Sus scrofa: one gene and its partner. The protein of the gene in region 2 purifies or fractionates together with the protein of the main gene of each other region. This does not show direct contact. Links are inferred from orthologs where the notes say so. Each region holds a gene or a part of one and is shown on either strand. Other genes may lie near its edges.

Region 1 (5,683 bases), on a different chromosome or scaffold from region 2:
TTGAAGATATAACTGCATTACTTACACAAGACTGCCTAAAACAACAAACAGTTGCTGAATGGGTGGTGTGTAGAGGGTTTCTAATCCTACTCTATGTGTGTATAAAAATTTCCATAATAAAAAGGTTTTAAAAAGCAATTAAATGTCAGAACAATGAAATTTTTAAAATGCCGTAATTAAAGGTTGTATTATTATCTACCACTTAAGAAAGAAGAAGACCAAGATTCAGCAAGGTTTAATTTTTTTTTTTTTTTTTTGGTCTTTTTAGGGCCACACCCATGGCATATAGAAGTTCCCAGGCCAGGGGTCAAATCGGAGCTGCAGCTGCTGGCCTTCATCACAGTCACAGCAACATCAGATCCGAGCTGCATCTGCAACCGACACCCCAGCTCATGGCAAGGCCGGATCCTTAAACCACTGATCAAGACCAGGGATCGAACCCGCGTCCTCATGAATACTAGTGGGGTTCATTACCGCTGAGCTACGATGGGAACTCCTACTTTCTTAAATCATACATAAATAAGACTAGAGTATAAGACTACACAAGTCACTTATTCAGACAGAATATAAAACTTGCTATCCAGTGACTATACGAGTGAGAGGACAGAGCCCTGGGCTGAAGGAGTCAGCAGCTCCCTTCACCCGCCAGGAAGTGAACACAAAGCCACAGTCTTAAAACAGCAACACAAGCTTTCCTGCACATTAGATCAGGGCCCAACTCAGCAAAATAACAAACCCCAAACCCTGAAAACCCCTAAGACAGTCACCCACAGTACTTTTTTAGTATTGATCCTAAATTCAACTTGAATCCATTCGATATGTGAGGAACTAAGCACTTACGTAGTAATGGCTCATTGTGTATACATCATTTTCCAGGTGACACTGTCCATCATTCGGTAAAACAATGCCACCAAGTTTCCCATCTCCAGCAAAGTGAAACCCAGCATCCGTGGAAAACACCAGCAGCCGTGTCACATTCCTCCAGCCAATCAACGACTCAAAAAAAAAAAAAAAGATTTCAATTTTAAAATACTACCCACAATAATTCAACATAAATCTTTTAACCTTTGTATAGGCTACCACTGTAGTTTCAACCTAATTCTGTATTCTCTTTTCACAATGCTAACGCCCTTGCTGATGAAGGCAGAGAGCACACTGTAAAGCTCCACTTGCCTAGCTGTCCATTTCTCTGAGCTCTTTTTTAAAAACTCTGTTAAAGTCAATCTCTCTCCCACTACAAGGTGCATTCACTTCGTGTAAGGCAGGAACCACATCTGGGTTCGTGCATCATATATCCAGCAGTTGTCACAGTGCTTGGCACACAATAGGTGCTTAATGAGTAAATGAAAAAGTCTTGGCCCACACCTAACTTTGCCCAACTTTGTCTCATTCCCATCCATCCTTGGTCTATCTTCTGTAGTGCATAATTCCTTAATCAGCCTCCTCCATATTAAAAGTCATCTTCCTTTTTAAAAAGTACCTTCTCCCAAGACTTGCCCTACTTAATTCTATCCGTTCTAAGCCCTCAGTACTGTTTGTTCATTTTTTATTCTCCACCTTATTCAGTAAAGAATGTAAAGTAGTAGTAAAATCTTCTATGATAATTTTATAATCATACGTGTCTAAGTTTACTCAATACATCTGTATATATCCTTCTAAGACTAAACTCCTTGAAGGCAGGAATTCAGTTTATTATGCTGGCAGTCCAAGTGAAATGTCTGTCTCTTTTGCATTTAGAGAAGTAAATGGAACAGCTCTGTCAGCACGAGCAACACTGAGCAGCAGCCACAGATGATATGGCTTGTTTTCATCCCAAGGCTGAGGCACAGGTAGAGGCAGCCCAGGGAAAGCGCTCTGCACAGTGAGCTGCTAACAGGATCACAAGCAATGGCTGGAAAGAAAGCAGACCATCAAGCCTGGCATGACTTGGAATCTCTCTCTTCCCCTTTAAAAGTAGAGACTAGCCTTAAAGTGTAACTACCCCAGTGAGAAGTCAAAGTAATGATGACACAGCAGTTAATATTTACTAGGTTGCTTACTGGCACCTTGTACGGACTGTCATATTTAAACTTCAGAACAGCCCTGTGAGGTCTATCTGTTATTACCCCTCCTTAAGAGAAGACGGAAATAGCCTCTGGAAGGGCAAGGAAACTGCCTAGTGGACGAGCAGTGATGGAAAATCTGAAGATGTGTCCTAACAGTCTTAGAAGTATAAAAACACTACATCATATTGCTATACCATATTATCATCTCGGGTATCAAGCAGCATATTAAAAACTGGCTGAGAAGCAAAGAAGCACTGGAGTCCAGGAAGGTGTTCTAGGGCACAGGGTACTATAAGGGAAAATGGGGGGAGGGAACGAGACGTCTTAGGTACTTAAGACGAACTTTATCTACCTCACAATGTTTCCTAGTTTCAACGTCACCTGTATCATTAAAAGGTCATCCCAAAATCTCAGCTGGTAAACAGAAAATTCTAATCACTACTCCAATGGAGATCAGTTTACAACCACTGAAAATCTTGCAATTAAAATTACAAATATTACATGACTTCTCAAAATACACGTTCTCATATATTCTTTCAAACTAGGATTTTAAAAGTTCTTTCTTTTTGAATTCCTAAGATAAGGGAAGATGCCTTTCAAAGATGACAAGCAGAAGAAAAGTTACCAAAGGAAAATGGTGTCTAGGACAAAGTTTATTTAAGCATTTTTAATGCTTCTGATAACCCCAATTCTATCTCAGGCACAAAGCCAGAAAGCTAGGGTACCTTGGTCTCTTCTAAAGACACAGAGCACCAGGCTAAAGCTAAACTGCCCCACTATTTCAAATGGTGCGCATTCTGGCCTTTAAAACCCTCTGTAAATGAACTGCCTGGTTTAGAGACATTACAATTATACTTTTATGAAGCACTTGTAGTTGAAGGGAATTTAAGGGATTAGTCAAATATGACATGGTAATTAAGGTAATTTCTTCTGACAGCAAAATAACACAAAATTCACACAAATAACATTGAATGCACTTACTCCACAAACGGCAACTTGCATGATTGCATCAAAGCCACCTTCTGGAGAATCCAAATTTCCAGATATGCGCTGTTTACCAACAAGTTCATTAAATACTTCCCCTTTATCAGTAAGGCTGAGCACATTTTTGTAGCTAAATGGGCTGGTACAGTTCTGTTCACTTGTGCAAGGGTTCCTGAGCTTAGCTGGTGTTGTGCTAATGTAAGGCATCACAGTTTTTTCCACAAAAGAGCCAAATCCTGTGAAGGAAAATGCAGACTGTGATGACAGATGGAGGGTGTATGGTTGGACAGATGGATAAGTTGCACTAAAATAAAATCAAGTATGTAACCACCTATAAGTCAATCTTTTTTTTTAAGAAATAATAAGGGTTGGAAAAGATATCACTGTATAAAAATATCCAGGTCTGATGGGAGATTAAGGTTATACAGGGCAGGTGTGGTCATATTAACTAGCAATGAAATAGAATCCAAGCAATCAACATGTTTATAAAATAAATCAACAAATGAATAAATACCTATGAAAACAAGCATGCATTTCACCATCTATGTGTGGTGTAATGTGTGTCAAATAACATGGCAGCCTACAGTAAGAGGAACAAGAGGCAGAAAAATTGTTAGATGTGTCACAGGAATGTGCATCCTCTTATGAACACAAGGGTAAAACCTGGCCCATTTATCTCATGTGTATGTGGTGAAGAACAAAACTGCCCAGATTTTTACAAATGAAAAGTATTAATTTTGTCAAAATTCCTACCAATTCGGAAGTCTGAAGTAATCCTCCTCATTTCATTCATCAGATCTGTTCCAAGGCTTTTCACGTTCTCCAAGTCGTCTTTCATGGAGTAGGAGAGGTCCATAAGGTAGTAGAGATCAATGGGATAGTCCTCAGCTCGCTTGAATTTCAACGTAAACGTCTGTGGCTCCCCTAGTTAAAGGGACTAGACAATTAGCTTCCCAGTAGTCCAAAGTGAATGAGAAAAACCAAGTCAGTCGATTTATAAGGCAAACACTATACAGTGAAATTTATTGACATAGTTTTTACAAAAAACCTGGGCATTTCATAGGTAACTCAATGGGTATGTCCTCATTTCATCCATAAATACTTAAAACGCCAGGCCCTGGGGATGATGAAAAAGACAGCATTCCCAGTCCACCGCAGGCAAGACAGGCGGAGAGCGAGTTTATAAGGACAACAGAGGCAAACAGACAGATGGGCCCACACAAACTAGACTGGGTGGTGAGGCAGGTCCACTATGGGGCTCGCTGGACTTCTGAGAGCCTGGCGTTATAAAGTCAAGACTCTGCTGTCTAGTGCGACGCACTGCTTGCAGTGAATAACAATCTGATTTGCACTTTAGAAAACCTCACAAAAAGTTTTAAAGATGAATTAGACACATAAACTTAAGAAACTGTTAACAGAGAGACAATAAAGATCTGAACTGAAACAAAGAGGAAGGAGAAGAGATGTACCAGAGGTGTGAGGTAAAATCCAAGAGATGTGGGTGAAAAGTCATTAAATTTTTATTTACCGATTTTCTCTACATAGGTTTCCAGTAGGCAGTTGGATAACCGGGTTTGGAACTTAAGAAGAAAGTCTACGTTACAGCCACACAAATGGCTTTAAAATCATGAGAGGAAGACCAATCATTAAGTGGACTATAAAGAGGAAGGAAGGACGGAAGGAGACACAGGGAGAACACTGGAAATCACTGCTAAGAGATGAGACGAAAAGCAGCAGTGTTATCCCAGAAGCCAAAAGAAGAGCACTTGAAAGTTTCAAGAAAGAAAGAAAAAAGGCCTGATGAGGGTCCACCAGGCCCAAGGGCTCCAGGTGGCGGCAGGGCTTTGCCAGAGGAGTTCAGGAAGCAGAAGTCGGGCAGAACTAGGCTTTGGACAGGGTGGGAGGGGAAGCTGGGGGGACGTTTCCTTGAGAGGAAGCGGCTGGAAACTGGAAGAGGAGAAAGGGTGCTTGTGCTCTCTTTCTTTTCTCCAGATGTGGGGCTGCTAAAACACTTAATATTTTAACAATACTGAATAAAAACAAAGGAAAAAATACATTAAAATGTTGTCTTTATATTCCGGAATTAGACCAGAAGATGGACGTGTTTATTTTTTAAAACTCATTAAATCTAATACTTTCTGAATCTTCAACAGAATTTACTGTGGACATTAGGCAACATTTACTTCACATACACTCTTCTTACAAATTGTTGTACCTGCAAAAAATTTCTAACAGTTAATGTAGTCAACACGTCTACTGTAGTGCCCGTTCACATGTGAAAATGAACCCTCACAGAAACTTACATCAAGTTGTCAAAAAGCTCAAGGGGAAACAAAATATTCATAGAATCAGACTGAAGTACCTGATCGTAACTGCAAAACCAACTGCTGTGGTTGGATCTGAGTGATATCTTCCGGCTGCAGCTTCTCTGCTGTCCCTTTGCTACGGTTGGTTACATTTTTATTTTTCTTTATATTTTTGGAGCCTCTGGGATTTTCAATGTCATCTGGATGACAACCCTTCTTTCTTAAGGCTTCCAAATCATCACATCGAGCAGAAGTAGGCATTCCTTCTTGTAAAAATGTCTAAAGAGCATATAAAATATAGGTTTAAGTAAAAAAGTTACATGGTCAAACCAGTTAAATTGCAAAAAC
Region 2 (5,683 bases):
CCTTCAGAATAGAACTGAATTCACCTGACATGTACATACAGCACATCACAGGCACTTCTACTTGTTCAAACTTGAAGGCTTTGTGTGGATGTGAAATTTACTTACCAAGGATGAACAAATGCTATCTGTGACTCTGTATAAAGCACATTGACCAGTGTTGGATAAATGTTTTCAGAAAAAAAAAGAACTTTCATATTGTACGTGCTTTGGGGAATGAATTGCTTTGGGTGGGGGGAGGCAGAAACCCGCTGTTATTAATAATTTAAAGAAAGTATGCAGGGGAGTTTCCATTGTGGCGCAGCAGAAATGAATCCGACGAGGAACCATAAGGTTGCAAGATCGATCCCTGGCCTCTCTCAGTGGGTTAAGGATCTGGTGTTGCCATGAGCTGTGGTGTAGATCGAAGACATGGCTTGGATCCTGTATTGCTATGGCTCTAGTGTAGGCCAGCAGCTGTAGCTCTGATTTGACCCATAGCCTAGGAACCTTCATATGCTGTGGATACAGCCCTAAAAAAAAAAAAGAAAAGAAAAAAAAAAAGAAAGCATGCAGGTATTATTAAAACACTTCCTCTAAATATGCGGCCAGTTATTGTGTGATGCCTATCAAATGATGGTACCTAATAAAGAAGATGGTATGTTGGTGAATTAACACCAATGGTGAGGAGAGGCCAGATGAATTTGAGGATGAATTACAAGTTGTACCTGTTCTTCCCTCTTTAAAGCAGGATAGCCTACATCACAGGTAACAGACTTCTGAGATGAAGGGATCTGGCATGTCACTTCTGTCCCATCAACCTGAATGAGACCAAGGAAACAATGATCAATTAGTATTCAGTGTGTGTGTGTGTGTGTGTGTGTGTGGCGCGCGCGCATGCGTGTGCGTGTGTGTACGTGCACAGATACACATATGTGCTGAAGGATGCATGAACCACCTAGACATTTTAGCAGTAAGGTTGGTTCACACTCAAGTAATTTATTATCTCCCAAGATTTGAAAGTCTTATACGTATTGTTCAGGCAGCTAATGTACTATTTTTATTGCTAACCAGGATGCCCAACAAGACAAAGGAGAGGTTAAATACTGAACTTTTCCCCAGAAGTAAATCCTATTCTATTTCTGCAGCACAACTTTAATCCATTATTTAGAAATGCTGTCTTTAATACATACCTTTCTATCAATACATTTAATATTTGTAGTTTCTAGAGAAAAACCTTATACTGTTTTTAATCTATATTTTAAATAACTTAAGGAACCTTTTTTAGTTTTGCTTATTTTTTTCTCTTTAAGTTGTCATTTGACACAAGAAATTTAAGCACTGACGTCAGAATGGGTTTAGACACTTAATCTATTAAGTTCACACGGACTTTAAATTGGATGAAACCGTTTTTGAGTCCTTTCATCAAGGAGTGAATCTGGAAAATCTCAGTTTTCCCCTACTCTCCTTTTCATTGCTTGGTGGCAGAGGAGGCCCAGCGGGGCATCCACGGTCAAATGTGTTCCTGGTATAGCGATCAAGTCAACATGATTAACTGACCTCGCTGGAATGCATCGTCTTGGCAGCAGCAAAACCTGTGGTTACGAAGCTCGGGCTGAGCTGTGGGACTCTAACTTCTCAGAGCAAGTGCAGCTCACAGCATCTGTGTGGCCTCTCGGCAGCCTCATCACACAGATGGCTTGAGGAGAGTTTACAGCAGAGTCTGGCTACTACTGCCAAGTATCAGGGTGAAGGAAAAACTGACCCACTCTGTGCGGCAGAACTGGTCTAGATACCCAGCCAGGCTTTGTTCTCAAGTGGTTTAACTAGCTGAGAGCCACAGGTTAGAACTGATCACACTGAAGGTGAAGATGTTCCTTTAGACAACACAGAGGATGCGGAGATTTGATCATAAGGAAGATGGTAATTGACAAGTAGGAAGCAGAAGAACAGTTAAGGCAGGTGCTCTCACATACCGGCATGGACCAGGAAGCAAAAAACAGGTTTTCTGAAAAAGCAATAACAATTCCAGTGTTGTATGCACTTTCCTTTTTGTTTTTCAGTGTTACTGAAAATGTTAATCTTTTGTTCTGGTTGCTGACAATGAATGGCTGTTGTCTGTTAAAAGTGAAGAGGAGAAAAAAGAAAAAAAAGTCATTATAGATTACCCTCTATTTAAAGTTATTATAAAATACTGGCTACACTTTACTGTGCTCTAAACAATATATCCTTGTTGCTTTTCTATTTTATACATAATAGTTTGTATCTCTTAATCCCCTACCTCTATCTTGCCCCTTCCTCTCTCCCTCTCCCCACTGGTAACCACTAGTTTGTTCTTTTTATCTGTGAGTCTGTTTCTGTTTTGTTATATACATTTATTTTTTTAGAATCTATATGTAAGTGATAAGAGTATTGTCTGACTTATTTCATGAAGCATAATACTCTCTAGGTCCATCAACGTTATTGTAAATACCAGAATTTTATTCCTTTTATGACTAATATTCCATATAGATATATGACATCTTATTTATCCATTCATCTGTTGATGGACCCTTAAGTTGCTTCCCTATCTTGGCTATTGTAAATAATGCTGCTATGCACATTGGGGTGCATGTGTCTTTTTGAATTAATGTTTTTGTTTTCTTTGGATGTATATCCAGGAGTTGAATTGCTGGATCTTATGATAGTTCTATTTTTAGTGTTTTGAGGAACCTCCATAATTTTTTCCATAATGGCTGCACCAATTTACATTTCCACCAACAGTTTTCCGCATAAGTTTTCCCTTTTCTCCACGTCCTTGCTAACATTTGTTATATGTGTTCTTTTTGGTGGTAGCCATTCTGCCAGGTATGTGGTAATACCTCACTGTGGTTTTGATTTGTATACCTCTGATGATGTGTGATGGTGAGCATCTTTATATGTGCCTGTTGGCTATCTGTATGACTTCTTTGGAAAAATGTCTATTCAGGTCTTCTGCCCATTTTTTGGTCAGATTTTTTTTCCTGATATTGAGTTGTATATATGTATTTTGGGTATTAACCCATTATTGATCATATCATTTACAAATATTTTCTCCCATTTAGTGGGTTGCCTTTTTGTTTTGCCAATGGTTTCCTTTGCTGTGCAAAGCTCTTTAATTTAATTAGATTCCATTTGTTTATTTTTGCTTTTATTTCTTCTGCTTTAGGAGACAGATCCAAAAAAAATATTGATATGATATATGTCAAAGAGTGTTCTGCCTATGTTCTCTTCTAGGAGTTTTATGGTTTCAGGTCTTAAATTTAGGTCTTTAATCCATTTGGTGTTTATTTTTGTATATAGTATGAGATAATGTTCTAATTTTATTCTTCTACATGTAGCTGTCCAGCCTTCCCAGCATTGCTTATTGAAGAGACTGTCTTTTTATCTGTCGTATTTTCTTTTTTTTTTTTAATTTCAGAGGAAGTGAAATTTATTTTGAAGTCAGAAATATTTAGGGTTATTGTATTCTCTGTAAGTGTGATTATTATGGAGTTTTCTTACTTTGAATGGTGTTTGACAAGTTTTTTTTTTTTTGTCTTTTGTCTTTTTTGTTGTTGTTGCTATTTCTTGGGACTGTCGTATTTTCTTGCATCCCTTTTTGTAGCTTAAGTGACCATTAGCATGTGGAATTATTTCTGGGCTCTCTCTTCTGTTCTGTTGATCTGCATTTCTGGTTTTGTGCCAGTACCACGCTCTTTTAATGACTGTAGCTTTGCAGCATAGCCTGAAGTCAGGAAGCATGATTCCTCTAACTTTGTTCTTTTTGCTCAAGATGGCTTTGACAATTTGGGGTCTTCTATGGTTTCATATACATTTTTATTTTTATTTTTTATTTTTTTTTAGGGCTGTACCCATGGTATATGGAAGTTCCCAGGCTAGAAGTCAAATCAGAGCTGCAGCTGCTAGCCTACACCACAGCCACAGCAGAACAGGATCTGAGCCATGTCTGCAACCTACACCACAGTTCACAGCAACACTGGATCCTTAACCCAGTGAGTGAGGCCAGGGATTGAACCCGCATCCTCATGGATGCTGGTCAGGTTTGATTCCACTGAGCCACAACAGGGACTCCTGGACATGTTAATAATGTTAATTCTCCCAATCTAAGAGCAAGGGATATCTTTCTATTTCTTTGGGTCATTTTCAAATTCATCAATGTTTTATAGTTTTCAGAGTATAGATCTCTCACCCTATTGATTAAGTTTATTCCTAGATATTTTGAAATTTAGATTTTAAAGGGCTTTAGTAGTGACAGATGGGGTTTTTTTTGATATAAAAAAACTCCATAAACATTCATGTGAATAAATAATCTAATGTGTCTTTTATTTCTACAGTTTCACTGAGCTTTAAAGTAAAACTTACTGAGTGGCCGGTAGCTGCTGAACATCTAGAACTAGATCAGAGATGCAAATTCCATCATCACCACAGTCTTTATAGAAAGGGATCTACAAAAAAAGAATTTTATAGGTATCAGTATCATTTTAATTTTTTTAAGTGTGTGGCGAGCACAAGGTATTCACTTTATTATTATATATTTCTTCAACAAATATTTATTGAACACCTATGGGGAGCCAAGAACTGCTTGAGGTCCCGGGAATAGGGCAGGGAACAAGAAAAACAAAAATCCCTGCTTTATGGAACTTACATGCTGGTGAACTTCACATATAGGTAACTGTATTTCATTTAGAAAATTAACAACTTAAAGGCTATGTTCTAAGTATCTTTCAAACACTACTGCAGTGACTGCAAAACTTTGTCAGCCAGTAAGAATTCCAGGAAGGGCAAACCGCACTTACACTGAAGACCTTGGCTGACTCCGAGTAGGCTTCGAGGGCAGGGCTGGTGCCAGGGTTTTCCAGACTGATGTTCACACACAGATCCAGAGAGTTGACAACATCAGAGGGCTTCTGAACACACAAGCACAGAGTCAGTTCATTAGGGCAGAATAAGAAATGACCACAAATGTGTTCACGATTGATGAAGAAAACAGTTCACTCTCTATTGTGCAGAATAGTTCTCATTTGAATTGTCAAGACTTAACTTCTCTTCTGTCTGCTCTTAGCCTGTCCACTGCTACAAGACCTAAAAACTTGGGCTCAGTAAAAATCTGAAGCAGCAATTCTTAGTTAGGCTCATCGGTACTCTGATTATTTACACACAAGCAACTGTAACTATTTAGATGAGGTGCCCATTTTAAATGTTCAAAAGACCCCTCTGTCAGAACCCAGCTCTTGGGTTATTGGCCATGGTCTTCCAATTCCTACTGCTAAGACAACGAGTCCCAACTAAATCTTTAGAAGAGAATATTTCAACCTAGAAGGGAAAGTGCCCAGGGCTGGCTGTTAGGGGTGGACAAGAGGGAGTTTCTGTTGTGGCTCAGCAGGTTAAGAAACCAACATAGGATCCCTGAAGATTCAGGTTTGATCCCTGGCCCTGCTTGGTGGGTTAAGGATCTGGCATTGCTGCAAGCTGTGGTGTAGGTCGCAGATGTGGCTTGGATCCCACGTTGCTGTGGCTGTGGTGTTGGCTGGCAGCTGCAGCTCCAGTTCAACACCTAGAGCCTGGGAACTTCCATATGCTGCAGGTGTGGCCTAAAAAGAAAAGTGTTTCCCACACCCAAGCCAAGCTTCCCAACTTCAGGCCTAGCTGGCTGTTAGCAGCTGCTCTACTCTTTGCACATAGATGG

Evidence for each region.
Region 1: the proteins of ITGA2 (region 2) and ITGB1 purify together in Homo sapiens (co-immunoprecipitation; 3 studies listed by BioGRID and IntAct, with this or other methods). This does not show direct contact. The link is inferred for Sus scrofa from reciprocal best matches to the Homo sapiens genes ITGA2 and ITGB1.

Annotation. Positions count from the first base shown.
Region 1 is NC_010452.4:56,094,488-56,100,170, forward strand, and holds part of ITGB1 (integrin beta-1), read right to left. Parts: intron 5,615-5,683; coding exon 5,392-5,614; intron 3,954-5,391; coding exon 3,783-3,953; intron 3,266-3,782; coding exon 3,027-3,265; intron 997-3,026; coding exon 841-996; intron 1-840.
Region 2 is NC_010458.4:32,411,616-32,417,298, reverse strand, and holds part of ITGA2 (integrin alpha-2), read right to left. Parts: intron 4,905-5,683; coding exon 4,794-4,904; intron 4,443-4,793; coding exon 4,360-4,442; intron 2,095-4,359; coding exon 1,953-2,094; intron 798-1,952; coding exon 705-797; intron 1-704. UniProt on the Homo sapiens protein: Integrin alpha-2/beta-1 is a receptor for laminin, collagen, collagen C-propeptides, fibronectin and E-cadherin. It recognizes the proline-hydroxylated sequence G-F-P-G-E-R in collagen.